Canis lupus familiaris: one gene and its partners. The protein of the gene in region 1 purifies or fractionates together with the protein of each later gene. This does not show direct contact. Links are inferred from orthologs where the notes say so. Each region holds a gene or a part of one and is shown on either strand. Other genes may lie near its edges. The genes, in order: GRB2, ELMO2, CTTN, PTPRE, HSP90AB1, ALK and SYNJ1.

Evidence for each region.
Region 2: the proteins of GRB2 (region 1) and ELMO2 purify together in Homo sapiens (co-immunoprecipitation; 4 studies listed by BioGRID and IntAct, counting the BioPlex papers as one, with this or other methods). This does not show direct contact. The link is inferred for Canis lupus familiaris from reciprocal best matches to the Homo sapiens genes GRB2 and ELMO2.
Region 3: the proteins of GRB2 (region 1) and CTTN purify together in Homo sapiens (affinity purification with mass spectrometry; 3 studies listed by BioGRID and IntAct, with this or other methods). This does not show direct contact. The link is inferred for Canis lupus familiaris from reciprocal best matches to the Homo sapiens genes GRB2 and CTTN.
Region 4: the proteins of GRB2 (region 1) and PTPRE purify together in Homo sapiens (affinity purification with mass spectrometry; 5 studies listed by BioGRID and IntAct, with this or other methods). This does not show direct contact. The link is inferred for Canis lupus familiaris from reciprocal best matches to the Homo sapiens genes GRB2 and PTPRE.
Region 5: the proteins of GRB2 (region 1) and HSP90AB1 purify together in Homo sapiens (affinity purification with mass spectrometry; 3 studies listed by BioGRID and IntAct, with this or other methods). This does not show direct contact. The link is inferred for Canis lupus familiaris from reciprocal best matches to the Homo sapiens genes GRB2 and HSP90AB1.
Region 6: the proteins of GRB2 (region 1) and ALK purify together in Homo sapiens (affinity purification with western blotting; 3 studies listed by BioGRID and IntAct, with this or other methods). This does not show direct contact. The link is inferred for Canis lupus familiaris from reciprocal best matches to the Homo sapiens genes GRB2 and ALK.
Region 7: the proteins of GRB2 (region 1) and SYNJ1 purify together in Homo sapiens (co-immunoprecipitation; 3 studies listed by BioGRID and IntAct, counting the BioPlex papers as one, with this or other methods). This does not show direct contact. The link is inferred for Canis lupus familiaris from reciprocal best matches to the Homo sapiens genes GRB2 and SYNJ1.

Annotation. Positions count from the first base shown.
Region 1 is NC_049230.1:6,054,590-6,058,082, reverse strand, and holds part of GRB2 (growth factor receptor-bound protein 2), read right to left. Parts: intron 3,461-3,493; exon of another isoform or gene 3,391-3,460; coding exon 3,268-3,390; exon of another isoform or gene 2,968-3,267; intron 292-2,967; coding exon 123-291; intron 1-122. UniProt on the Homo sapiens protein: Non-enzymatic adapter protein that plays a pivotal role in precisely regulated signaling cascades from cell surface receptors to cellular responses, including signaling transduction and gene expression.
Region 2 is NC_049245.1:34,241,192-34,244,691, reverse strand, and holds part of ELMO2 (engulfment and cell motility protein 2), read left to right. Parts: intron 1-539; coding exon 540-721; intron 722-2,292; coding exon 2,293-2,392; intron 2,393-3,500. UniProt on the Homo sapiens protein: Involved in cytoskeletal rearrangements required for phagocytosis of apoptotic cells and cell motility. Acts in association with DOCK1 and CRK. Was initially proposed to be required in complex with DOCK1 to activate Rac Rho small GTPases.
Region 3 is NC_049239.1:48,400,505-48,404,004, reverse strand, and holds part of CTTN (src substrate cortactin), read left to right. Parts: intron 1-774; coding exon 775-885; intron 886-3,500.
Region 4 is NC_049249.1:37,246,549-37,250,048, forward strand, and holds part of PTPRE (receptor-type tyrosine-protein phosphatase epsilon), read left to right. Parts: coding exon 1-157; intron 158-3,500. UniProt on the Homo sapiens protein: Isoform 1 plays a critical role in signaling transduction pathways and phosphoprotein network topology in red blood cells. May play a role in osteoclast formation and function.
Region 5 is NC_049233.1:12,845,010-12,849,247, reverse strand, and holds the start of HSP90AB1 (heat shock protein HSP 90-beta), read right to left. Parts: upstream 2,801-4,238; 5' UTR 2,783-2,800; exon of another isoform or gene 2,772-2,782; intron 1,743-2,771; exon of another isoform or gene 1,579-1,742; intron 797-1,578; exon of another isoform or gene 471-796; intron 152-470; coding exon 5-151; intron 1-4. UniProt on the Homo sapiens protein: Molecular chaperone that promotes the maturation, structural maintenance and proper regulation of specific target proteins involved for instance in cell cycle control and signal transduction. Undergoes a functional cycle linked to its ATPase activity.
Region 6 is NC_049238.1:23,065,570-23,069,069, reverse strand, and holds part of ALK (ALK tyrosine kinase receptor), read left to right. Parts: intron 1-154; coding exon 155-341; intron 342-991; coding exon 992-1,082; intron 1,083-1,214; coding exon 1,215-1,279; intron 1,280-2,877; coding exon 2,878-3,007; intron 3,008-3,500. UniProt on the Homo sapiens protein: Neuronal receptor tyrosine kinase that is essentially and transiently expressed in specific regions of the central and peripheral nervous systems and plays an important role in the genesis and differentiation of the nervous system.
Region 7 is NC_049252.1:27,955,641-27,959,140, reverse strand, and holds part of SYNJ1 (synaptojanin-1), read left to right. Parts: intron 1-705; coding exon 706-973; intron 974-3,500. UniProt on the Homo sapiens protein: Phosphatase that acts on various phosphoinositides, including phosphatidylinositol 4-phosphate, phosphatidylinositol (4,5)-bisphosphate and phosphatidylinositol (3,4,5)-trisphosphate. Has a role in clathrin-mediated endocytosis.

The DNA of each region.
Region 1 (3,493 bases):
ATAAAGGTACTATTTTGAATGATGGGTGCAGAAGCCCCAGAAAAAATCCTTTGAGAGGGTACCTGCCTATCTGAGGAGCTATTCTTAATTGCTAAAACTGATCCCAATCTTATGAGGCTTACCTGTGGCACCTGTTCTATGTCCCGGAGGAATATCTGCTGGTTTCTGGAGACAGATGTAGATCTGTGATAATCGACCAGCTCGTTCAGAGAATTGAATTTCACCACCCAGAGGAAATACTTCCCGGCTCCATCTCGGAGCACCTTGAAGTGCTGCACATCATTTCCAAACCTGGAGGGGCAGAGAACACCCACGAGAACAGGTCAGAGGGCTCCGTCCTGGCTATCTGGGGGCCAGGTGCTCCTCACATCAAGGAGGCATCTTCTGAGAACTAGAGTTCTGGCAACACTTCTCACGGCCTGAGGGGCCCAGACTGCAGCACAACACGATCCCCTGGCTGCAAAGTCAGGACAGTCAGGACGCTGAGTGCCCTTGAGATCCCGCCAGGGGACTGATGATGACCAGTGACGACGGGAAGAATCCTTGCCATATAGGAAAACCTTGTCCATCAGGTTAATTCTGAAGATGTTCGTAAGATAAAAAAAGAATATCCTAACCTATGGGCATGACTCCAAGTGCCCTGCGCTGTACCAAATCAAACAGCCCTATTCAAGGAAAAGTGTGACTTCATTAACTTTTCAAGCAAAAAAAGCATTAAAACTTTACAGGACATTTAAAGATGACAACAGGTGGGGTAGGAAAGTGAGAGAGGAGGGACTGGACATACTTTCAACAACTCTCCTGTAATTGGGAAGTGTAGATTATGTTTTCCATTTAGGAATCTTAGTTCTACTCACAGGTGAAAGGTCTCAGAACAGAATGCAGTAGGAAAATAAATATAAGAGGCCGAGGCACTGGGTGCCCAAAGATGTTTCTCGATCACCTGGTAACATGCTTCCTCTTATATTGCCCTGCAGAAGCAGGCGTACAACTGGGTGCTGACCAGCCCCTGGGGAACAGTGTTATGTGGCTGCTATACCAGCCCAGTGAGGCTTTGCCTGTCCTGCTCACTGCTGTGTCCACAGGACAGACACCAGGGCTCAGCCCTCAAACAGTACTCTAGGAAGATCTATAAATGAAGGACACAGTCTTTCCTCTCCTTCAGTCTTAAAGGGAAAAGGAAATTAAAAACAACCCAGCAGGTGGCAGCGCTGGGCTTCAAGTAGGAGATCCCAGGCATCCAGGACCGGTATATAGCTTTTCCTGAGAATCTGCGTGTGGTGAGGAAGGAGGGCACATTCCCCAGAAGCTTATGCCCTCTGGTGCAATGCAAATGGTTTGGTTCTTATAAGGTGTACTGGGTCCCAGACAGTGACCTGTTAACGACCACCACGCTGTTTTTCAACACTGACTCCCATCTTGAAATGAGAGAAACCTTCTAAAGACTGTAGAGATTCTTGAACCTCCTTTGAGAAAGTGTTTGTGTTGTTAAAGACAGTAATGACATCTGTTTCAAATTTTATTTCTGGAACAATAATTGCACGGATTCTTTAAAGTTTTTATTTGATAAAATGGAATGGTTTGGGAGCTTGCCAGCAGCTACTGTATGAGCATGTGCAGTGATGAGTGATAATCAAGGCCTCCACTGCACACTACCTGCCAAGGTGGCTTTGGCCACTACTCAATTAACCTGTGAGTTAACTACTTGTACTCCTCATACTGTATAGAGTATAGAGTATATACTGTATAGAGTACTGTATAGACAGTACTCTATACTGTCCTCTACTCAGGTCAGTATAAAATGTAAGGATAACAGATGACAAAAGACAAATTAGCAAGAAGCATTAAGATAGTAATTCCACCTCAAGATACTCCTTCACTAGATCCTCACTCACATGTGTTTATAATTGAGTGCATCAGAAGGCCGCTGTTGCTGTGCGTGCTGGGAAGGGGGGTTGCTGGGGATAACCACTGTACCTGCCACACAGTTTTGCTGTGAACCTGCAACTACTGTAAAAAAATGAAGTCTATTAAAAAAAAAAAAGAAGTCATTGTTAAAAGAGGAAAACTCTGAAAATAATTAGATCCAGTTTGACTTTTTCATGCTGGGACTAAAAAACTCACTTATACAGGACATGTATCTGTGTGGTGTTGTGAATATGGCCTGAAGCCACCTCCCACACCTTCAGAGGGGAAAAAACCCCACAAAAACAAAAATTAAGTTTAAATCTACATTTCAAAAACACTATACTAAAAAAAACAAAACAAAAAACAAACAAAAAAACAAACCGAAAAACAAAAACACTATACTGGTCCTAAAATGAAACAAGATATTCAGTTAATTTTGGACACTGAAAAACCTTTACATTGTGTGTAAATGGCAAACTCTCTTATGGTCTTCATTGAAAAATAACGTAATCTATAGTAGCAGTGATCTAAGACCCAACCCCTGCAAGTTTTTATTTAAATTCTAGTTAGTTAACATATAATCTTAGTTTTATAGGGGAGGAATTTAGTGATTCATAACTTATATATAACACCCAGTAATCTGAGTTTTTAACCTAATCATGCTGTCATAGGAGTGATTTGTAAGATTTTCAGGGGAGGGGTTCCTCTGATAATATATTAACTAGAAAGGCCTTGACAATTTGATTAAAAATACTTATTTCAGAGATGGGAAGTAATTTGCATGAAATCCTCAAAACTCCAACTTATGTTCTCAATGATTCCTAGGGTGGTAAAGCTCCCAGTCTTTCCTATTCCTTGCTTACCAGCTCCCTTTCACATTTAAATTTACCACTGGGGAAAGCAAAACACCCTCAAACCCTTGTGATAACCTTTAAAAGTTGAAGTAAGAGGCCTAGGATGGTGTTGGTGGATTTATGCCAGACATCTGTACAAGAGAGCCAGCTGCAAGGGTGAGCAGTCACGCCACCAGAGTGAGATCCCACAGAGGGCAAACGAGCAAAGAGCTGTGTGCAAGGCAAAGGGCACAGCAGAGAGTGGGGATTAGGGAAAACATGCTGCTACTCACCAACTGAAGGCTGTTTCCACACAGGAATCTAAACTCAGTACTGGCAGAACTAATTTTTGAGGAGTCAGGAATTACTATTTTAATGTAAACTATGCTGCTTTATAAAATACAGTTTAGGCTAACCCTCTACCAGTTGGCAATCTTTGGTGTGTGTAGCCAGACACCTGGCCTGTGGCTTCACGTTTCAGATGAGGAGGGAGAGGACTCCAGGGACCAGAACGGGAAGCACTTACTTGACAGAGAGGGAGAAGTCCCCGGGGGCACTCTCACTCTCTCGGATGAGAAAGGCCCCGTCATGCCGCTGTTTGCTAAGCATTTCTTCTGCCTTGGCTCTGGGGATTTTGCCAAAAAACCACCTAAGGAAGGAAGACAAGCCAGTCAACATCTGCTTCCCCACAAAGAGACGGGATATCCAGCCTCCGAAATGTGAGTAACAGAACACTCCTTGCCAAAGGAAGG
Region 2 (3,500 bases), on another chromosome or scaffold:
CGCTCAACCATTGAGCCACCCAGGTGTCCCTGAAAAGGACTTTAAAGGTGATCATCAGATTAAATTCTCCATCCAGTGCAAGAATCCCTCGTGAAGCATCTCTGACAGCCAGTTGTCCTGAGTCTCCTTGATTGTTTTTAGTGACTGAGAGGTCGTTATGTCGAGACAACCTGGTCCACTGTCTAATGGCTTAAATTAATAGAAAACTCCCCTCTGTGGAGCCAGTATTGTTTTCTCTATGACTTGCTGGAGGTGGTGGACTATTGTCTCCCGGTCTTTTGTAGTCCTTCACTGGGAAGTTTCTGTAATCCATAGACCAGAGCACTACAGAAAGGATATACGTAACTACAGATTGGTCTTGGCACAATGGTAATTCCATGATTGATCCAACAAGCATTTTTTAAGCAACTCCTAGACAGCATGAACAAGTAGTTCTGCCTCGGGCTTGGATGTCCACAGAAAAGCCTTTATGAGCTACTCACAGAGCAGTAACCTGCCACAAGGAGCAGATGGCATACATCTTGTCCCTGGTGTCATAGTCCCGGGCTGCACGCCAGCTGATGGAGAGGACCCAGTCATCCAACATGGAGACCCGGCTGGATGCCATGAAAGAGCTGGCCAAGCTCTCTGCTGATGTGACCTTCGCCACTGAGTTCATCAACATGGATGGCATCGTCGTGCTGACACGGCTTGTGGAGAGTGGAACCAAGCTCTTGTCCCAGTGAGTATTACTGAGCTCTTACTGGGGGAGTTTCAGAAGTCTTCCTTCATTCTGCAGGGGATCCTTTTCTCATATTCACTGAGTCACCTGAATTTATTGAACACCTTCTATATACAGAGCAGTGTGCCCAGTACTGGGGTCTGTAAGAGGAATTCTCTCTTGTGGTCCTGAATCTTGTAGTCTAGTTGGTCTTCACAGATGCCAAGCCATAGTGAAATGAGGGGGTATAGGAAGAGAGAGGGCATGTCGTGACAGATCTGTACATTTATGGAAAATGATTGGCCTGGTGGAAGCTAGTGAGTGGACTATCCATGTTATTGACCAGAAAAGATCTGTCTATTCTTAATCGTCCCCCTGCTTCGTCCCTGTCCAGTCACCTCCCACTTCTGCACACGCACATGCACGCGCACACACACAGGGCTTCCTCCATGCTCACCATGGGTTCGCCATCTCCCTTCCACCCATATTCACAGGGAGGAGGTCCCAGGAGTATCGCTCCAGAACTTTGCGATACTCCGCGGACACCTCTGTGGTGCTCCAGTGCTAAGATGAGTGCAGCGGGACACTGTGCTGTGAATGATTAACAGATGTTTAGTTAGCTGTCTAGGCCAGTGGTGGTTTTCTGTCTCTCTCAGCTGGCACAGGGGGAGTCTGAAATCTTCAGTCAATAGACCACCTTTTGAAATTTTCAGCCAAACAAAGCAACTAATCACAGGTGTTTAAGTCTTGGATTTTGCGGCTGCACTGACCTCCTGAAACCTTCAGTGGCCATCAGCCTTCTGCCATCTCTGAGGGGTGCAGGATTAGACTGGCCCTGGTTTCCTCCTCTTTAACCTGGAGATGCTGCTTATATTGGAGTATCGCCATGAGGAGTGTTGTTAACGGGTCCAAATCTGCCTTGCCAGTGGGAATAAGGTTTGTTAAATCTAGAGCACCGTACAGATGTGTAAAGGGTTGTATGTAGAGAGAGAAGGGACACAGGAGAGACGGCGTGGTAATCCCCATCCTCCATCAGCACTGCAGCAGGGCTTTGCATACACTGTCATCTTGCCGCCGCCACAACCCTGTGATGTTAATGCTGTGAGATAAACTCAGTTTGACAGAGGAGGAATTTGAAGTTTGAAAAGATAAAATTTGCATAGTTAGTAAATGGTTGAACAGGAATGGAGCCCGGGTCTGGGGTTTGTACTCTTTGTCCTATACTCTGCTGCCTCTCGGCCTTGAACGTGGGCTGTTATTTCCCTTGGATACGCCTGCCAAGTATTGGGGTTGATAAAAGTCTGATACCTTTTTGGTTTTGGGAAATGGATGAGTGATTGTGTTTAGATGAGGTGATATGGGGAAGGAGAGCCAGTGCCCAGGTAGCTCTTTTTTTCCCAGAGATGTATACCTGGACAGAATCTGCTGCACACCTGGCGAGGGATGCAAACAGGTGCTTATTCATGGCTGTGCCTACCCACCCCTTGTGGGGCATTTAAGCTCAAAGCCATCTCCATTATGGCTGCCATCACACCTGTGTTCCCGGTTTTGAATCTTTGTATTATTTTGTGTGTGTTCTGCTTATGTCTCAGCTACAGTGAGATGCTGGCATTCACCTTGACTGCCTTCCTAGAGCTCATGGACCATGGCATTGTCTCCTGGGACATGGTTTCAATCACCTTCATTAAGCAGGTGAGGCCTCCAGCATTCCATCTTCCTCTCCTCCCTCTGTGGCCAGTTGTCCTCTCAGTTTATGGAGAGATGCAAGCAAGACAGTCATCCTACTGAGAGTTAACTTTCTATCCCCCAAGGCCTGACTTTTCATCCTCATGCTTGGTCTTCCTGGGATCCTGAAAGAGTTCCTTCACTGTTCTGTCAGGGCCTGCTCTGAGAAGATGGAAACAGGTTTTCAGAATTGACTGTGGCCAAAGCGGGATGGGATGATTAGTGAGACTTGAGATGATCCCAACCAGTCAATCAGTACCAGCCCTGAGTCTTCTGACCTACTTCCCAAGAGCTCCCTTCTCTTTGGCTATACATGTTCATTTTGTTCACCTTTTACCTTAGGTTTACAAGTCTGCCTTCTGTTGACAAAGCAGCCTGCAAAGCAGCTTGTTTGGATGGTCAGATCAAACTTGGTGGGTGGGAGGGGACACTTTTACTTTTGCCCTCCTTTCTTCGACAGGAAGAGGCGGCATCAATGCCAAAAACTGGACTAAACTCAATGAGTAATATATCCACAGATACAGAATCAGAGCTGTCATTGGCTTGGGACACTGGGTACCTCCTTTTTTTTTTATTATTTTTTATTTTTTTATTTTATTTTATTTTATTTTTTATTTATTTATGATAGTCACACACACAGAGAGAGAGAGAGAGGCAGAGACACAGGCAGAGGGAGAAGCAGGCTCCATGCACCGGGAGCCCGATGTGGGATTCGATCCCGGGTCTCCAGGATCGCGCCCTGGGCCAAAGGCAGGCGCCAAACCGCTGCGCCACCCAGGGATCCCCCACTGGGTACCTCCTGATGCTGGAAATATTCAGACAAAAGTGAAATGACCATGTGTCGGGGACATTATAATGGGGGTTGAGAATAATGGGAAATTACTAGATCACAAGACTTTGAGGTTTTCCTGTCAAGCCTCTGCTGTCCTGTGTGCATGCAGGGACAGAACATGTGACAGGAGAAGGGTATGTCGAGATAAAAGGAGACCCCAGGAAAAAAAAAAAGGAGACCCCAGTTTCAGTAAGATCCTCTGCTTTCTACACTCAGCTTTTTCATGCCTGAACCTTTATTTTG
Region 3 (3,500 bases), on another chromosome or scaffold:
GCTGCAGACAGGAGGGCAGCCCTGCCCCGCTGCGCCGGGCCAGAGAGAACACTGTCATCAGAGGCGGTTTCCTGGGGAGGACCATATCACTATGGGGCTCCCCAGGCTGTGGCAGAGGCTGCCTTTTCTTCCTCTGAGCATCGTTGTACCAGGAGAGTCCACTCTCGGGTTCGGCTGGCAACAAGCTCACTTTCCCCCCAGCCTTGGAAACCAGAGCCTGAGATCACTGTTGCTTTACTGTGCGTGTGGTCCTCACATGGTGCTGGCTAACCTTCAAGTCGTGACAGTCTTTTAAAGCCTTTTTTTTTCTTTCTTTCTTTCTTTCTTTTTTTTTTTTTTTTAAATGGAAGCATGTTATTTTTTCAAAGTGCTTGGTGTACTTTTTGTGAGCTGGTTTACGCCTGTGTCTTGCGTATCATCGGATGCCCTGGGGGTGGGCGCTCTGTCCATCTGGCCTGGCATGGACCTCTCTAGTCCCTTCGGCAAGGGGTTTGAGCTGCACAACTTGCTTTATTTGGACAGTTAATTTCTGCAGTGGGACCACAGCTTCTTGTGCCATTGTGAGAGGCTCCCCTCTTGGGGTTGCAAGGGATTGCGCTCTGAATGGAGTCTGGGTTCACTCCTGCATGACCATGGGGGGACTTTTAAACTGTGCGCTTGATCTCTTGCTGTGTCCTGACTCCAAAATGTTTTTGTCTTGCTCAGTCGAAGAACCGAGGTGACAGTTGAGCCTGTCATCGAGCTTCTTTACTGACTGCCGCCCTGTCTCCTCAGACTACTCAAGTGGGTTCGGTGGCAAGTATGGCGTGCAGGCTGACCGGGTGGACAAGAGTGCCGTGGGCTTCGACTACCAGGGCAAGACGGAAAAGCACGAGTCACAGAAAGGTCAGGCCACTGGGAGCACCACTTCTCCCTGTGTGGGGCCTGCCTCCTCCCTGCTGCGCACTCACAGGTCCACACCAGGGATTTCTCTCCCCATGCCAGCTGGCTTGTGTGGCATTTCTGCTGTTTTTGTTTTGTTTTGTTTTTTTAACATTTTATTTATTTATTCATGAGAGAGAGAGGCAGAGACACGGGCAGAGGGAGAAGAAGCAGGCTCCTCACTGGGAGCCCAATGGAGGAGTCGATCCCAGGACCCCAGGATCATGACCTGGGCTATTAATCCACCCAAGCGTCCCTTCTGCAGTCTTTTTAACTGAAATTGTCAGAGGGCTCTTGTTCTGTTCAGGTCAGCATACATCTGCCTTTTCTGTCCCCATCTTGCAAGGAGGCTGTCAACATTTAACCATTCCTCTTTGGAATGTGAAATTTTGGTTATTTGCAATCTTTGAAGCTAAAAATCAACTACAGTGAATATTCTTGTTCCCTGAGTCTCATAGATTTTTAAAAAATGATTTTTTAGAAGAGTAAATTTCCAGAAGTAGAACTGTTAGGTCAAAGGACGTTGAGTTTGAAATTTTGGTGGCTACTGCAGATTGTCCTCACCAGCTGTGCTGATTTTTCCCTCCATCATTGGAAACCCTGCCTGGCGAGGGATGTCTCCATGAAGGGTTTATAGATGTGGTCCCCTCTTGCAGTGGCCCTGGATTGTTGGTTCTTCTGCATTATTTGTTTCATATGGGCTTCACGTTTAAATATTTTTTTTTTTAAATACCTCTACACCCAACATGGGGCTTGAGCTTACAACCCTGAGATCCGCTGACTGAGCCAACCAAGCGCCCTTGTGCGTTTACATTTTTAAAAATAGTTGCCAACATATAAAAACAGAATTCACATCTTGTTTAAAAACCCAGATTTCTTTAAAAGACAAATATAGGGATGCCTGGGTGGCTCAGTGGTTGAGTGTCTGTCTTCGGCTTAGGTCATGATCCTTGGGTCCCGGGATCAAGTCCCACAGTGGGCTCCCTGCAGGGAGCCTGCTTCTTCATCTGCCTATGTCTCTGTCTCTCTGTCTGTCGTGAATAAATAAGTAAATCTTTAAAAATACATAAATAAAAGACAAAAATGAAAATGCCCATTGGAAACACCATGGGCGTGTCAGTTGCCTGGGAAGTGGCAGTGAGGCCTTTGGGGCAGCTGACTTGGCTGTGGGTGTCACTTCCTGTCATACCTGGCCTGCCCACCCACCCTGAGGCCACAGTCCTGGCACACAGTGTGCCCCACAGGGTCTCTTTAGACTCTGCCTCTTCTACTTGGAGCAAACTTGTGCTCCTCTGCCCAGTATGGTACGCACGGTGCTCATCCGGGCCTGCACTTAGATCCTGCACACTGCTATTCAGATTTTCTCCTGGACATGCCATTGAGGAGGAATGAAAACCGTTTCTGAGAAGTCAGAGAGCAGAAGCCAAAGGGCATGGGGCAGACAGGGTTTCTCTGCAGCCTTGGGCCTTCCCCCAAAGGGTTTGATCTTTGTGGTCTGCTCTGGGAATGTGGCCCTGGTAGAGCCATGCTTTAGTATGGAGATATGTCGGTGACTTAGCTCTGGGTGGAAGTGATGGTTTCTGGAAGATGCTCCACATCTGTCCTCTTTCTTTGAGGGTACTCCCAGCACACCTCTGCGGCTTTTGTTTATGAAGCAGAGTGACCTTTTATGTATTTATTTATATTTTTTAAAGCTTTATTTAAGGACATAGCAAGAGAGAGCACAAGCAGGGGCAGAGGCAGTGGGAGAGGGAGAAGCAGACTCTGCTGAGTAGGGAGCCCTGATGTGGGGCTCGATCCTAGGACCCTGAGATTATGACTTGAGCCAAGGGCAGACACTTAACCGACTGAGCCACACAAGTGCCCATAGTGTGACCTTTTAAAAGCTTGCCTCTATGGCTCTGGTGGCTCCTCTCAGTCCCAGAAGCTTTATTTATTTTTATTTTATTATTTTTTAAAGATTTGATGTATTTATTTATGAGAGACAGGCAGAGGGAGAAGCAGGCTTCCTGTGGGAAGCCTGATGTGAGACTCGATCTCAGGACCCTGGGATCACCCCCTGAGCGGAAGGCAGACAGTTAACCACTGAGTCACCCAGATGCCCCTCCCAAAAGCTTTATAACATGCTTGTTTTGTGATCTCTTTTGGAATGAAGGAAAGATAGTACAGTTGTGAAAATCTGCTGCACTTGCTATTCTTCGTGTTTTTGTTGCTACACACACAATAACACTCTGGAGCGCTCTGTATTAGTGTGATCTTACAGTGTACCTGAAAGAGTTTTGGCCTGTGTGTTTTGTTTTTAACTGGGTGATAAGGGATCCCTGGGTGGCGCAGCGGTTTGGCGCCTGCCTTTGGCCCAGGGCGCGATCCTGGAGACCCGGGATCGAGTCCCGCATCGGGCTCCCGGTGCATGGAGCCTGCTTCTCCCTCTGCCTCTGTCTCTGCGCCTCTCTCTCTCTCTGTGACTATCATAAATAAATAAAAGTTAAAAAAAAAAAAAAAAAAAAAAAAAAAAACTGGGTGATAAAAGTACTTTCTCAAAGAATCCACGGCCTGCTCACTGGTTTTGTTGCTGGTGT
Region 4 (3,500 bases), on another chromosome or scaffold:
CTGATGGCTGCAAAGCCCCACGGCTCGTCTCCCAGCTGCACTTCACCAGCTGGCCTGACTTCGGCGTGCCTTTCACCCCCATCGGGATGCTGAAGTTCCTGAAGAAGGTGAAGGCTCTCAACCCGGCCCACGCCGGACCCATAGTGGTCCACTGCAGGTACGTCCAGGTGGGACCACAGGGCAGCCCCCCACACACACCTGGAGGACTTGGCTGTCATGGGAAGATGACCGGTGGGCCGGGATCAGGGTGGGCAGGAGGGCAGGCAGGGCCGGGGTGAAAGCAGCCCCCTGCCCAGGGTGAGTGCAAGTTACTACTGACACCTCAGAGGATCCCTCGAGGTGAGAGCTGGAGGGACATTCAGCCCACCCGTGAGAGCAGCACTGTTTCTTCCACGGCATCTGAGGGGAACCCCAGTACCTAGAACAGATAAAAGCCAAGAGGCCTGGTAAATAGAGCTAGCAGGGCTCCCGACAGTTTCACTTGGCCTGCCTCCACCTCCCCCGGAGACCTCCAAGTCACCTCTGCAGGTAGAGATGGAAATCACACTTCTCTGGGGAGCCCCCAGTCTTTATACAAGAGTGCACGGGGCTCAGAGGGCCCACGGGGGCTCAGAGGGGCCACGGGGGCTCAGAGGGGCGGGGAGCCATGGCCCAGGCACAGCTAATAGCAGCCAGGAGCAGCCGTCCAGGGCAGGGCGTCCTGAAGACCTGCTCTGAGGTCCTGGCTGCCGCTTCTCCTCCCAGATGCATCCTCCTCCACCCTCCATTCTCCAGTCCTGGAGGGGCTGGGGACTCACCCCAGGGGTGAGCTTTGCATGAAACTAAATACTACACCAGCCTCAGCTGTCAGCACTGTGATTATTGCTTAGGTTGTGGGAAAGCAGCCTCCAAAGTGATCACTTTGTCCCGACCGGGTGCCCTCTGCCTTTGCACACCTTGGTGTCTCCTGGTTGTTTTCACACTGAGCTTTCATTTCCTCTGAAACTCTGGGAGCCACAGAGGCAGGGTATGAATTAACCCCCTCTGTGGGCTTATGTTACTCCAGGCCCAGGTTGGCTCCCAGTGCAGCAGGTCGTGTCTGAGAAAAGGCCTTGGACTTCGAATTGGTTAACTGGTTTATGCACATTCTGTGTTTGGAGATAAAAGCACAAAGATGGGGAACACTCTGCTGCCAGACTCTCCATCCCCCCCGGGGGTGCTCCGTTAGAACCCTAAGACACTGGGAGGGTGAAAGGGGAGGCCCCTGGCTCCCGGCCAGGGCTGGGGTCCTGGCCCTGGTCCTTGGGAGCTAAGGGACATTGCAGCAGCTGTGCGTGAAGTGAGGTGGCATCTGTAGGGTGACAGTTGCCAGCCCTGCAAGCTGCTCCCAGAGCTGTACTGGAGAGGGGAGCCTTGTGGGCCAGTCCTGCTTGGCCCCAGCCGGGGCGTCTTGTCCGTCGCTCCTGTTCTTGCCCAGACTTCTTGGAAGCCAGAGTCTCCATGTTCCTTCTACCCAAAGGCCTGCATGGCAGGTTCAGAGCATCCTTATCACTGTGTGCAGATGCCTTTTGTCCCTTGTCCCTTTTGTCCTTTGGCAGTGCCAGGGTACTCCCAACTAACCTGTCTGCAACGGCCAAAACCAAGTGAGACCCTGGTGAGCTGGGCCTTCCCTCCATGCAGCAGGGGCACGCCTGGATGGAAGGGCCCGAGTCCCCCCACGGGGACTTCCGTGGACCCATCAGAGATGTGGGGCCCCCTCTGGCAGACACCCTGGGGACTTTGGTGGCCTGTCTTCAGGACCCAGAGTCCGATGCCCCCAGCTGGAGAAGCTGTGGCCGGAAGGGCTCCAGGTTGAGTTCCCGTTGGCTCTGCAAGACCACTGCAGCTGCCGCCTCTCCCTGACGCAGGCTTCTCGAGGTGGCCGCCGGCCCAGCCCCGGGATGGGGATGCGGGACCTACAGAAACGGCCTCTGTGTTGGGTCTTGGGTGGCCACAGGGAGGGGGCTTGGTCCTGCTTTGCTGTGATCCCGCCAGACCCGTGGTGCATGTGAAACCGTAGTGAGTGACACTGTCCTCGCCCCGCTCGCTCCGTCCCGCCCACGGGTGCCCAGCACAGGTGCTCTGGCCATTTATCTCGTTTCCATGCTGGGCCCCCTCCGTGGCCCGGAGTGCCTGCCTTCGCCGGTGAGCACGTGCTCGTCTCCCTGTGGGCAGGTTTCCCTTCGGTGCTGCCACTGCGGCTCCTGGGCTCTCGGGCCTTCTTTTATGTTCTGTTTTGCCACCGGGTGTTTAATCCACGGGAAGTGGAAGGGGCGGCCCGCTCCAGCCCCCTCCTTCCTGGCGAATCCTTCCCTTCCTGAGCCGGGGCCTCCCCACCCCGGTGCCTCCCCACCCTGTCGGTTGGTCGAGTGGGCAGATGGGCGGTCCTTGGCGCCCGCCCACGACGGTCACGGTCACGCGGTGGCAGGAATTGCTGCCCAGAGCGCAGCCTGCCGGAAGCCAGCAGGGTGGGGGAGAGGCTCCCGCTGGGTGGCAGCCCTCGGCCTCCACGTCCCACCTCCAGGGCCACGCTCATCCTCACAGAGGGGCTCTCAGCTCCAGGCCATGTAAGGCCCCCGGGGCTTTGGCTTCCTAGTGTCCTTGCTGACACACTCATCCTCAACGCTAGATTCTTAATCACTTAAAAGGAACCGACATCCTCTGCCCGGATCCCCCAAGATCGGCATCCCCGTGGAGGCCGGCTGCGAGGACCACCTGGCCTCAGCCTTTTCCTGGGGGACCAGCGCGGTGTCTCTCCCGCGTGCACCCCGGGCCAGCCGAGGGGGCCTGTGAGCAGCTCAGGGACCCTGACGGCCTTCCAGCCTTCCAGCCGGTGGTTTTGTGGCCTTCCTCACGCATCGGGTGGGGCTCACCTGGCTCTGCACCCGCTGGTTTCTCTGACTTTGTATCTGTGAAGAGCTAAGACCCCCGCGAAGGGCCTCTCGTGTGTTTTACCTGCTTTCCCCTTTGAGATGAGGGGTCTGCCCCGGGGGACGGTCTTCACCACTGTCCTAGCCCCATTTTGGAGCCTAACCCGAAAGAGGGGTAGCTCCCACCCCCCCACCAAAAAAAGGAGGGAAGTAGGGGGACTCAGCTCATTAAGTTGTGAGCCTTTTTTGTTAAGGAGATGATTTTCCTTTTTGCAAGAGGCTAACGCTGCAGGGGCTGGAGGGGGCAGCCCCGTTCGGTGTGCAGTTCTGGTGCAAGATGCTGCACACACGAGTGTGCGTCCCTAGCGGGTCCCTCGTTCAGCAGATGTTGGCTGAGCACCACCGCGTGCCCGCGTTGTCCTGGGTGCCGGGAACAGGTGCGCGGCCCACCGTCTGGGGGAGATCCGGCAGGTGGCGGAGGGCAGGACAGAGGCCCGGGAGGTGCTGTGGGGCGCGCACTGGGAGGGCGGGAAATCCAAACCCGGGAAGCCACTCGGGCAGCTTCCTAGCGAAGAGGCCACTGAGCAGAGGCCCTAGGGGCCAGCTGGCTTC
Region 5 (4,238 bases), on another chromosome or scaffold:
TCACATCAGAAGCATTACTGATCAACTCTCGAAGAAAAATTTCCTTGTTAGAATAGAAGGTATTGATGATGAGGGACATGAGCTGGGCAATTTCTGCCTGGAAGGCAAAAGTCTCCACCTCCTCCTCTCCATGGTGCACTTCCTCAGGCATCTAAAATAAGAACAGTCAAGAATTACAAAAGAACACCGTGGCCCCATAGGTAACACTCCGTTTCACCCTACTCACAACGAAGACTCAGCTTTTAGTTGAAATTGCTTTGGGCTGGATAGTAGACATATTCCTGAAAAACTAGAAAACTTTTCCCTCAATGATTTCAGCCTATACCCTTAGTGGAAATCCAATTCAGGAAGAATTTTTAAAAGCTTCTCTAACACAACACACGACGTCAAAAGCGTTTTGGAAAAACACCTTGGAGCCTAAGTACTCTAAGTGGTCCATGGGACCCAACAGACTCCGCATCACCGAGTACCTCGTTGAAAATGCAGATCGGATCCAGGAACACGAAAAGGACTCCAGATAATTTTCAAGAGAAAAGCACTGAATACGGCTCTATTTCTTTTGGTAGGACAAACGGTAGCCCGAGGCGACCAATTTCGGGTTAAAAGGAATTCGCAATTGGCTCTCCCGCTGGGGGTCTCCCACATCAAGCACCCTGGAGCGCAGGGGCCGACTACCCCCGGGGCCGGTGGATACCCGCCCAAGCGGCTGAGACAAAGAACCGCTAAGGCAGAAGCTCCATCGCGACCCCAGCACACGTGACTACAGCGTGGGACCAAACCAAACATAACCAAGATGGTGGCCGTCGTCCGCTGGGCAGACCCTCGTCACTGCCGGACGTGCGTCGGCCAGGGCCACGCGAGGAGGGGGCGCCACCGCGCAGCCTCCCTTCGCCCCAGCATCCGGGCACCAGGGCGGGGCGCCGGGTTCCAGAAGCTTCCAGAACAATCTCAGCTCTTCGGAGAGGCGGGGGAGGAAAGGGCCCATGAATCTTCCCGAGCTTGCCCCCTCCACTCCCCTCCCCCACACCGACACTGCAGGAAAGATCTGGAAGGAGAGGAAGCACTATGGGCCAGAGACCGCCGTCAAACGTTGCTCGCCGAAGGTCACAGAAAAAAAAAAAAACGAAAACCCTTGCAAAACGCGTCCCAGGGGACAGATGGCACAGGCGGCACGGGCAGGCCAGCCCCGGGCCGTGCTGAGTCACGTCCAGCGCGCACACCCACAACGCGCGGGGACCCTCCGGCGCCCCGTAGCCGCGTCCGGAAGTGGAGGGGCAAACATGGCAGCGTCCCGGCCGGCGCGGACACCACGTGCAGCTGCCCACCACCCCCAGCCCGCGCCGCGGCCCACCTCCCCCAGCGCCAGGCGCCGCCCGCGGGGACGCCCGCCACCAGGCACGGGTGAGAAAGCAAGTCTAGCTCGCGGTCCCCCTCCCGGCCACCCCCGAAAGCAGTTAGGAGTCGTCCCATCCCACAGGCCGCTCCCACTCCACGAAACCCAGGCTTTAGAAAGGAAACGAGGAACGAGAGCAACTCAAGAGAGCACTCCAGGCAGGAAAACCTGGAAATAGCTACGACTTTACCTTAAAGGGGAAGAGCTGCAAGCACTACAGACCACGGCGGGCAGGGGCTGCGTCCGGCTACGACGCCGAACCAAGGCTGCGCGGGGGTGACTCAAGAGAGCGGCTGTGCGCCCCCGGCCGCTCTATATACGGCGGAGCACAGACCAGCTGCCGGCCCCCGGATCCCTCCGCCTTAAAGGAGGGTGCAGCTCAGCCCCGCACCTGCCGCTGCCCGCCCACCTTGACGTCATGGCCCAAAATGGGGCGGGCGGGGGGGGGGGGGCCGCCGGTCTCGGTCTCCGCCTTCAGAGTACGCAAGTACATCTCTGCTTTTGCAAGGCATGAGCTCCCTCCGAGAACTAAAGACTGGGAACGTCTTATTTCATATGAAATAAGTGGGGGATCTAGGGGTGCGGGTGCCACTGGCCTTCCTATAAACCATGAGGCAGGCGCCTCCCCACTCGAGTCCTGGCCTGGAGGAACACCTATAAAGGTGGAGGGCGGGGATAGAAGCGGCCAACCGCTCCGACCTCGGCTCCCGGGTTCGACTCTTGCTACAATCTGCCCTCCAGACCCCCACAACCCGAGAAGGGGAAGCAGTTTTCCTTAGGGACGGTGCGGAATCCGGGGTCTAACCTCAGGGAGGCCTTGCGCCCCGGCCCTCCCAGGGGCAGTGGGCGAAAGCCGCGGCTGTGCGGCGGGGTGTGGCTCCGGCTGGGGGAAGGGCCCTGGCCGGCACCGGCAGGGGGACTCTTTGCCCGCGTCCGGCGGAAGGAGCGGCAATGGTGGTACTGCGATTACTTCCAGCAGTTTCCAGACCCGCCTTGGCGGCCCCGCCCCCGCCCCGCCCCCTCCGTGCAGGCGCCGCCCCGCCCTCTGCGGCCTGGGCCGGGTGTCCGCAGCCGCCGCGGTCCCCGGGGAGGAGGCGGGCTGTTCCCCTATTAACCTGGGAGCCCGCGGGGGGGACCCTCATCTCCCACCTGCCGGTTCGGCGAGCCCAGCGCTCCCTCGGGAGTGGGATGGAGCATAAAGGGAAAGATTGACCCCCCCACCCCCGCCATCGATCCCACGGCCTGGGGCTGTTGGGGCGGTGGTGCTGGCGCCGCCTTCGGGGCGCAGAGACCCGGGGACGCATTCGCCATCGCGGGGGGCGGGGAGGAGGACCCTCCCCTACTTGTGCATCCGCCCAAGTGAGTGGGACCCGGAGACCTGCGTCTTCCCTGCGTGAGCACACGGAGCTGTTTCCCCATCTGGTTTCAGTTTGGGCCCTCTTCGCTCCTGCGGCCGGCAGACGGGAGGAGGAGCGGGCCCCCTTGCAGGCTGCCAGAAGTCGTTCCCCTCCAGCTGCGGCGCGGGCGCTCCCGAGCCGTTAGTCGGCCGGGAGAGCTGTGGGACGCCGTGGCTCAGCCCCTTTCGCGCGCCTTCCAGAGGGGAAGCCGTCCTTGTCTACCTAAGGCCTCCCCTAGGAATGCCGTCGGACCCACGGCCCCTCCGGAAGAGAATGGCCTCTTGCTGCTCTGTGACCTTGTAGGGGTCCATCCACTTCTCCCTGGCCCACAGGGTCGTTCCCTGGAATCCTGGGGAGGGGCTGCCTCCGGCACCACCGCCCGCCGTCCTTCCTCAGCCTTCTTCCTTCCTTTGTATTTCCTTATTCATATGTTAAATTCCGAAGAACAGACCTTCCAATTCCTTATCTTTTCCCCAAGCACCAGACCTCATCACCCAGCCACAGCCACCACTCCTATATTTCTCCTTACTCTTTTATTCAACCCCACACACACACCTGTTTTAAAGATTTTTATTTACTCATGAAGACACAGAGAGGCAGAGACAGGCAGAGGGAGAAGCAGCTCCATGCAGGGAGCCAGACGTGGGACTCGATCCAGGGTCCCCAGGATCATGCCCTGGGCCAAAGGCGGCGCTAAAACCACTGAGCCACCCGGGCTGCCCCCTATTCTCCTTAATGGTGTGTGAGAAATCTGTGACTTGGGGAAGTTAATGTGTTTGGGAAGAGCTGTGGGTGCTGTTGCCAGGAATCCTCCAGGATTCTCTGTTCCTGATCAAGATCTCAAACGAAGTGTGTCATCCCTCAACATACCCTCTCTCTTTCTGGGCAGAAGGGGCCTAGAAAATTAAAAACCTCCCTAGTTCACAAAGAGCATTCAAACTATTTCACAATACTGTGAAGAGGTAAAAGTGAGTCTCCCGTTCTCACTGGGAAAGCAAGGCTTCAGTGAGATCAGTCAGCTCAGAGCCTCTGTTGCACCAACCCTCGCTCCTTGCTCCAGGAATGGAGTAGCAATGCTGTCTCCCTTCCCAGGACCCAAGTCCAAAGCAGCAGAAATCACTCCTGTGGATCAGTATTAAGACCAGAGACTCCCGGGGTCTTCTAATGGGAAGATCTCAAATCACGCACTAGCACAGAAATTCTGTCTTTTCTGGAAGGCTCTCCCACTCGCTGACACTCACTTAAGCCCCCCACAGTGAGTTCCTGGGATGCAGAATTGCAGAAACAAGATGGAGGTTTCAGCCCCTAGAGGGCTGCAGCAGGCCAAGTGTGAACCATAGCAACAGGAGAAATATCAGACTCCCAGCTCAGCCTGAGGCAGGGGACAGGCTTAGGGCCAAGGCTGGCCAGTCCCTGGCACAGGTATATGTCCCAGAAGAGGGAGAAGC
Region 6 (3,500 bases), on another chromosome or scaffold:
TGTTAGAATCACTAAGTGTGATGGAAATGTTCAGATCCCAGAGGAGGAGATGGAGATCCAGGAAGGCTTCCTGGAGGAGGTAGCCCATGCTGGGCTTCAAGGGCCAGGCTGCCTGGCCCAGGCCACGTTGTAGCTAACCTTCATCTGCCTGTAGTGTACCGCCGGAAACACCAGGAGCTGCAGGCCATGCAGATGGAGCTCCAGAGCCCCGAGTATAAGCTGAGCAAGCTCCGTACCTCGACCATCATGACTGACTACAACCCCAACTACTGCTTTGCTGGCAAGACCTCGTCCATCAGTGACCTGAAGGAGGTGCCTCGGAAAAACATCACCCTCATCCGGTGAGTGCCCCCCTGCCACTGTACTCCGGGGTGGTGCGGGTGTGGGAGGAGTTCAGGCTGGATGGTCATCCCCACACCATGGATTTTTCCAGCCGCAGGAGGCCAGCACAACCACCCCTCAGGGCAGTTCCAGCCCTCCCAGGTTTAATGCTTAGGGCCATTTGGAGAGGTATTTAACTGTTTAACACCCCATATATTCACGGGGTTTGCACAATGAATGGAGAGCAAGACAGGGAACCAGAACATTCCTTGAAGTCCCCTGAAGCGCCCCCTCTCAAGTCTTCTCGGCCCCTCATTCTCCAGGTGGAGCAAAGTGTCCTCCTCTGAGCTTCCAGGGCACCCCATGCCTTCCTCCATCATTTACTGAGCACACTCTACAGGAATGTCTGCCAAGGATCTGTCCCTCCCCAAGAAGTGGGAGCCTCTCCCCGGGCAGGGCCCTGTCCTCTTCACCCCTATGACCCTGACGGATATCAAAAACCTAGTTCGTCTTCATTGAACAATAAGGCAGGGGAGGCCTGGCACTGTATGGCAAAGCCAGGTGGAGGGTGTTACTCCTCAGTTTGCAGGAAACCCCCTGCCTCTTGTGTGCCTTTCTCCTGGCCCCCACCCCGCCCCCTCTGCCTGACCTTGCCTTTTCCTTTGCACAGGGGACTGGGCCACGGTGCGTTTGGGGAGGTGTATGAGGGTCAGGTGTCTGGAGTGCCCAGCGACCCGAGCCCCCTGCAAGTGGCCGTAAAGGTAAGAGGCGGCTCCATCATGGCCCTGATCTTGGCCGGCAGTCTCTATGGCCTCAGCTCTTGGACCACACACCCTCTTACCCCTGCGGCTCACAGCCTCCTCCTCCTTTCCACCCTCCCCTTCTGTACCCAGACGCTGCCTGAGGTGTGTTCTGAACAGGACGAACTGGATTTCCTCATGGAAGCCCTGATAATCAGGTAAATAAAGCCACAGAGAGACGCCCCCTGTTAGATGTTTCTGTCTCCAGAGGAAATGGTGTTGTCCTCCAGCGTCCCCTTCCTCCCCACCAGGAGGGTCCCTAAGATTTTAACACATCTTACCAGAGTGAAATAGCCCCAGGTGGTCGTCTGAGAAGAAAAATCTCTGTGGCCTAATAACCAGAGGGATATCCCTCTGCCTTCCACTAGCACCCCTGTGTCACCCAGTGGGATGTTCCCCAACCCCCCCCCCTTTTCTGAATAGAGCATGCTAATTGTTGCCAGTGGAAGACACACTTACGCCCCAGGTAACTTTTCGACAAAGCCCCTCCCCAGTTCCAGCTCTTAGATCTTGTGTAAAGACCCGCGGGCCTAACTGATGAATTCTTGAACACTACCTCTGAAACTAATGATGTGCTGTATATTGGCTGATTGAATTTAAGTAAAATAATTTAATTTAAAAAACAAAAAAAGAAGTGTGCCCCTAGATGTGATGGAGACCACCGCATCCTGTTCCCCACCAGCTGGCTTACACCCTTCAACGTGTGACTCTGGCGTCCCCTAACTAGGAATCTCAGTGCCCAGGGCTTGGGAGGGCATGTGCTCCGGCCGCAGACCACCTTAAGGAGGACACAGGTGCTTGACCTTGAGATCTCGCCACACTCATAGCCTCCTGTTATGCTGGAGAGCCTCAAACATCCAGACACATGCGAGTGGCCTCGGGTCCCTCCCCCCCACCCCTGCGTGGAAGTGGACAGTATGTGAGGTGCCTGTGTTGTCCACAGAAGGATGCACAGCAGGGTCAGGGCCTTGCTTTAAGGGTAACCTATTGTCTGATTACACATGTAATACATGATTATTGAACAACACTTGGGAAGTGTAAGATGATATGGAAGGAGACCCAAATCACCCAGTCTCACTCTTGCTGATAACCCGCCACTACTCTATTTCAGCATAGAGCCATGTAGACCTTCGGCTCTGCGTGTGTGTGTCCAGACGGAGTTCACCCGCCCCCCTGCCCCACACGTCCTAACAGGATCACATTAGCAAGAAAACCCAAATCGTAGGGCCTCTCGGCCAGACTTACTCCGTCCCCATGAGCACCCATGGGGGAGGCACGCACAGGCCTCTTCCTCACTCTCTTTCACACACGGTCTCCTGGCAGGGTTCACTCGGTCCCCAGAGGAAGCAGTTCCTTCAGCTCCTCTGCCTGACGCGTCCTCGAAGAACTCACACATGAATCCTAGCAAGCAGTCCACGCACCACTGTCCCCACTGTCCCAGACCCTGGCCGCTCTCTCGTCCCGCCCGCCCTCTGACCCCACCTCCTTACTAAGTACCTGTGCAGCAGCCTCCTGCCTCCAACCAAACACTCTCATGCAGACTGGACTCCTGCCCGGCCTGCCCTCTGGTTCTCGCACCTGCTCAGGAGTGAGATCCCCCCCGGCCTAGGCTGGGCATGGGACCCGGCTACCCACATGACGGAAGGCATTTACATAATGCAGCTGCTGAAAACATAACTTTGCATCCTGCTCTTCCTCTTTAAGATTTTCCCAGACTCAGCTCAGTTAAATTTGGTTACTCCCCTCTGCTCTGCAGCAAATTCAACCACCAGAACATCGTGCGCTGTATCGGGGTGAGTCTGCAAGCCCTGCCTCGATTTATCCTCCTGGAGCTCATGGCAGGAGGAGACCTCAAGTCCTTCCTCCGGGAGACCCGCCCTCGCCCGGTGAGTGAGAACCAGTCTTGCCCTAGTGGTTGGAGCCAGGGAATGGAGCAGAGGGCGGGAGGGGCAAGAGTGGGCAGCCTGAGAAGCAACCTACTCAGTGGGACCGAGGGAGTCAGCCCTGGGGCTTGTATCTGGGGGAATGGCCAGGAGAGATTGCACAGAAGGTAGACGAGGGCTGAGCCCACCCTGGGGAGCTTGAGCAGGGCTTGTGCAATGGGGCCTCCAGCCTGAATCCCTTTTTGTGACCTGCTGATTCCGAGAATTAGGGACAAGCACAGAGGAGGACTTTCATGCCAGCCATGCCATTAATTCAACTGACTTGGGGACAGGACATTCTACATCTACTCATTCTGGACCCCACTAACCTCATTTCTTAAGTGGGGACATCCTGACCTTGTACCTTTACTGTCAAAATAAAATACTATAATATTTATGAAGGTTCTGCATGTGTGTCATGATTAAGGGGCTGGAGCTTGGGGGAGTGAAGAAACCT
Region 7 (3,500 bases), on another chromosome or scaffold:
TCACAGTCCAGTGAGGTTTATTTTAATCCTGGTTTGTGAGGGAGTGTATCTCAGGTTGGTTCTGTTAGCACACTAAAGTTGGTCTAGATAATAAGTGGCAGAGCCAAGATTCAGGGCCACTTCTGCCTGTCAAAGTACACCACCACTGAATTTCGCCTTCATGCTAATTTCATGGGATTTTTGCCAAAATTAGTGAAAATATCTATGAAAGTTTTTGTAAACCAAATTGCTTTATAAATTGTTATCAAGGGCTTTCTGTTCATATGTCGACAACAGCAGCTCACATTTATATTTTTTCCATTTCTTTGAACTGTGCTATTTACAAAGAGCTCCCACATTTATTGTCTTATGTGGATTTCCTGACAAACATAAAGGAAAGATGGGGAAGATAACATATAGATTATTTTTTTACTTGATAAATTTTTTAATATCAGATTAATCAAAGGAATAATTTCATCAATGTGAGATTATTCTGTTAATGTTTAAATGGTTCATGGATCTAAATGTGTTTAATCAAGGATTTTTTTCAACTTTTGCAAAAATCCAGTTGTAAATGTAAACATGTCCATGTCAGTTTAAAATAAGCATGCTGTCAGATTTTAAAAGTTGGAAACATGACAAGAAAGTTGGAGGAAATTTTGAATAACTTGAAAAATATTGGGAATTCAGGGACTTTTCATCCGATGAATTCTTTGGTTTTTGCAGGTGATACCATGTTACATTATCTGGTTTTAGTCACTGGATGTATGTCTGTTGGAAAAATTCAAGAATCTGAAGTTTTCCGAGTTACTTCTACTGAATTCATATCACTACGAATTGATTCTTCAGAAGAGGATCGCATTTCAGAAGTGCGAAAAGTTTTGAATTCAGGAAACTTTTATTTTGCATGGTCTGCATCTGGAATCAGTTTAGATCTAAGTCTTAATGCACATCGTAGCATGCAAGAACACACAACTGATAATAGATTTTTCTGGTGAGTTTGTGTTAACGTTTTTTCCCTTGGTAATCATGTGCTTGCTGTGCAATAGTTTGGTGATTTGGTGCATAGTGTGTTCATCAGTTATTTCCAAAGATAGCAAGGATGGGCATTGCTGATTGAGCACCCCACTGTCTCCTGCTCCAGAATCCTCAGCAGAGCATAGCAGGCAGCCAGTGTCAGCTTATTGAAGTTCCCATGTGACATGCAACCCATTTGCTCTGCCCAATCTAAACTGACCTTTCGTTTCTGAAATATATTTAAGATATTTATTTTAAAATTAAGAATGAATTAGTTGTAATCAAGTTGTGATACTCATATTTACTGTTCATAGTTTTGAGATCTTGTTTCTGGCAGTACTGTTTTTCTTTTTTCTTTTTCTTTTTTTTTTTAGTACTGTTTTTCTAAGACAGCATTGCCTCATTTTTTTTTTTAATTTTTTATTTATTTATGATAGTCACAGAGAGAGAGAGAGAGAGAGAGAGGCAGAGACACAGGCAGAGGGAGAAGCTGGCTCCATGCACCGGGAGTCTGATGTGGGATTCGATCCCGGGTCTCCACGATCGTGCCCTGGGCCAAAGGCAGGCGCCAAACCGCTGCGCCACCCAGGGATCCCCTCATTTTTAATTTAAAGGTAATAGGTGCATAATCTTGATTTAAGAGCAATGGACTGTGAAGAAGTGATATGCTAGGATAAAGGTTAGTACTATAATAAAGTAAGACTTAAGTAGGTAATGGATATTTCATGATTATGCATAAACTGTACTATAGTATGCACAAAGGTAAGCACATGTAACTATAATTAGTGCTGCTTTATTGGAGCTGACCAGTTTTCTAGGATATTGCTTCTCTTGTCCACAGTCAGCATTGCTGTGGGCATTTTCCCCTAACATCATGTAGCAATTATATTTCATTATGTTTGCACGTTCTAAGACCGCAGTCCAGGACTCTCTGCCCTTGGGTCTCCCTCAGTAGGTCAGATTCAAGGTGTTCTGGATATTTTCTTTTCCTCCCACTTGCACCATCTACCTATAGTCCTTGAGTGGCCCGTTTAGTCTGACCTATCTGTCTTGGGTGTCAGAGGGCTCAAAGTCAACAAAACCTTAGGATAAGAAACAAACTTTAGAGGAAGCTTTTTAGCTAATGTGCAAGTTTTTTTTGGCCCAGCATAGTAATACAGAGGAGAAACGAGGCAGAATGAAAAAAAGACTCCAGCATCCTAGAGACTTGGAACCTCACAAAGGAGGAGACAATGAAGGGCTGGGAAGGAATGGTTAATAGGGCAATTAAGTGGGCCTAGAGGTCAGCCCCACACTTTTTCTGATGGAAGAGACATGGAAATCCCTGAAAAGTTAAGGTGGCGCAGATGGGCAGGGCAGCTGCCCTGACTTTTTTCTCCCCACTCTGGTCATTCTAACCCCAAATATCTTAGATTAAGAGATAAAAATTTTCTTGCCAATAATTAGAAGTTTAAGCAGGTGTGGATGCATTGGCTCCAATGATCAGCAGTTAAGCACATTTGCTAAGTTTAACCAGTAGGAGTAATTTATTTATTTATTTCATTTACTTAAGGGTGGAGGTGGCAACAGTTTACCTAACAGACTGAAGGGGTTTATTGAATAGGAGACAGGTTGAACAAAAGGGAGACTAAAACACCAAAAATGAGTTTTGGTAATTTTACGCTTTCTACAATTTTTCCAAGGATTGGCATTCTTGAGCTTCACCTTGCATAGAAAAATGAAAGCTTTATGAATGTATTATGCATACTCTTGTAGCTTAGTAGAAATATTTTCCAGGATACAGCCAAGTAAGTTTTGTTTCCAGAGTCACAAACACCTATCACAAAAACTCCACTCATTTATTCCTTTGGAGATTTGAAGCTGCGGCCAGTTGAGAGTTGTTTATGAATTTAAATAGAATTAAGACAGCAATTCATTGACAGCAAAGAGAAATGAAAACTGATGGTAGAGAGAGAAACTACCTGAACAAATACATAGGATCCCACTTGTATTTAAATGGAGACAGGTATATTGCTTATACCTCTGCCATGACATGGGACTCTCTATGGTATCTGGACATACTGGATCACAGTCATTTGAACTTCACCTCAGATCAGTATAGGCAATAGTAGAGTATGGAGGCTTATGTCATATTTTGAAAATACTTAATGGCCATTGGATTGAGTGTTAGTCTAATAGTAATCTCACCATTCACTTACGTAGATGGTTTATCAGAACTGCACATGCCCACCAGCTGTCTTATCTCTACCATCACCTATACCCTGAGGAGGAGGGCTGGGCAGCTGCTGGTCTAGCAGTAGTGCTGTGTATTAATGAGACTAAGACAGCGAGATAGTGCAGAGTACTTAAGAAAAATTTCTACCTAAAACAGGGGAGTTTTAAAACTTGAGAACCAAGCTTCAGTATTATAGAAAATTCACTTTTATGAGACTCCTGGTTCTCTGAAAAGCCAGCCAGTAAGTTTTTCTGCATAACAATATATTTCCTTTGGTGATAAATTGGTC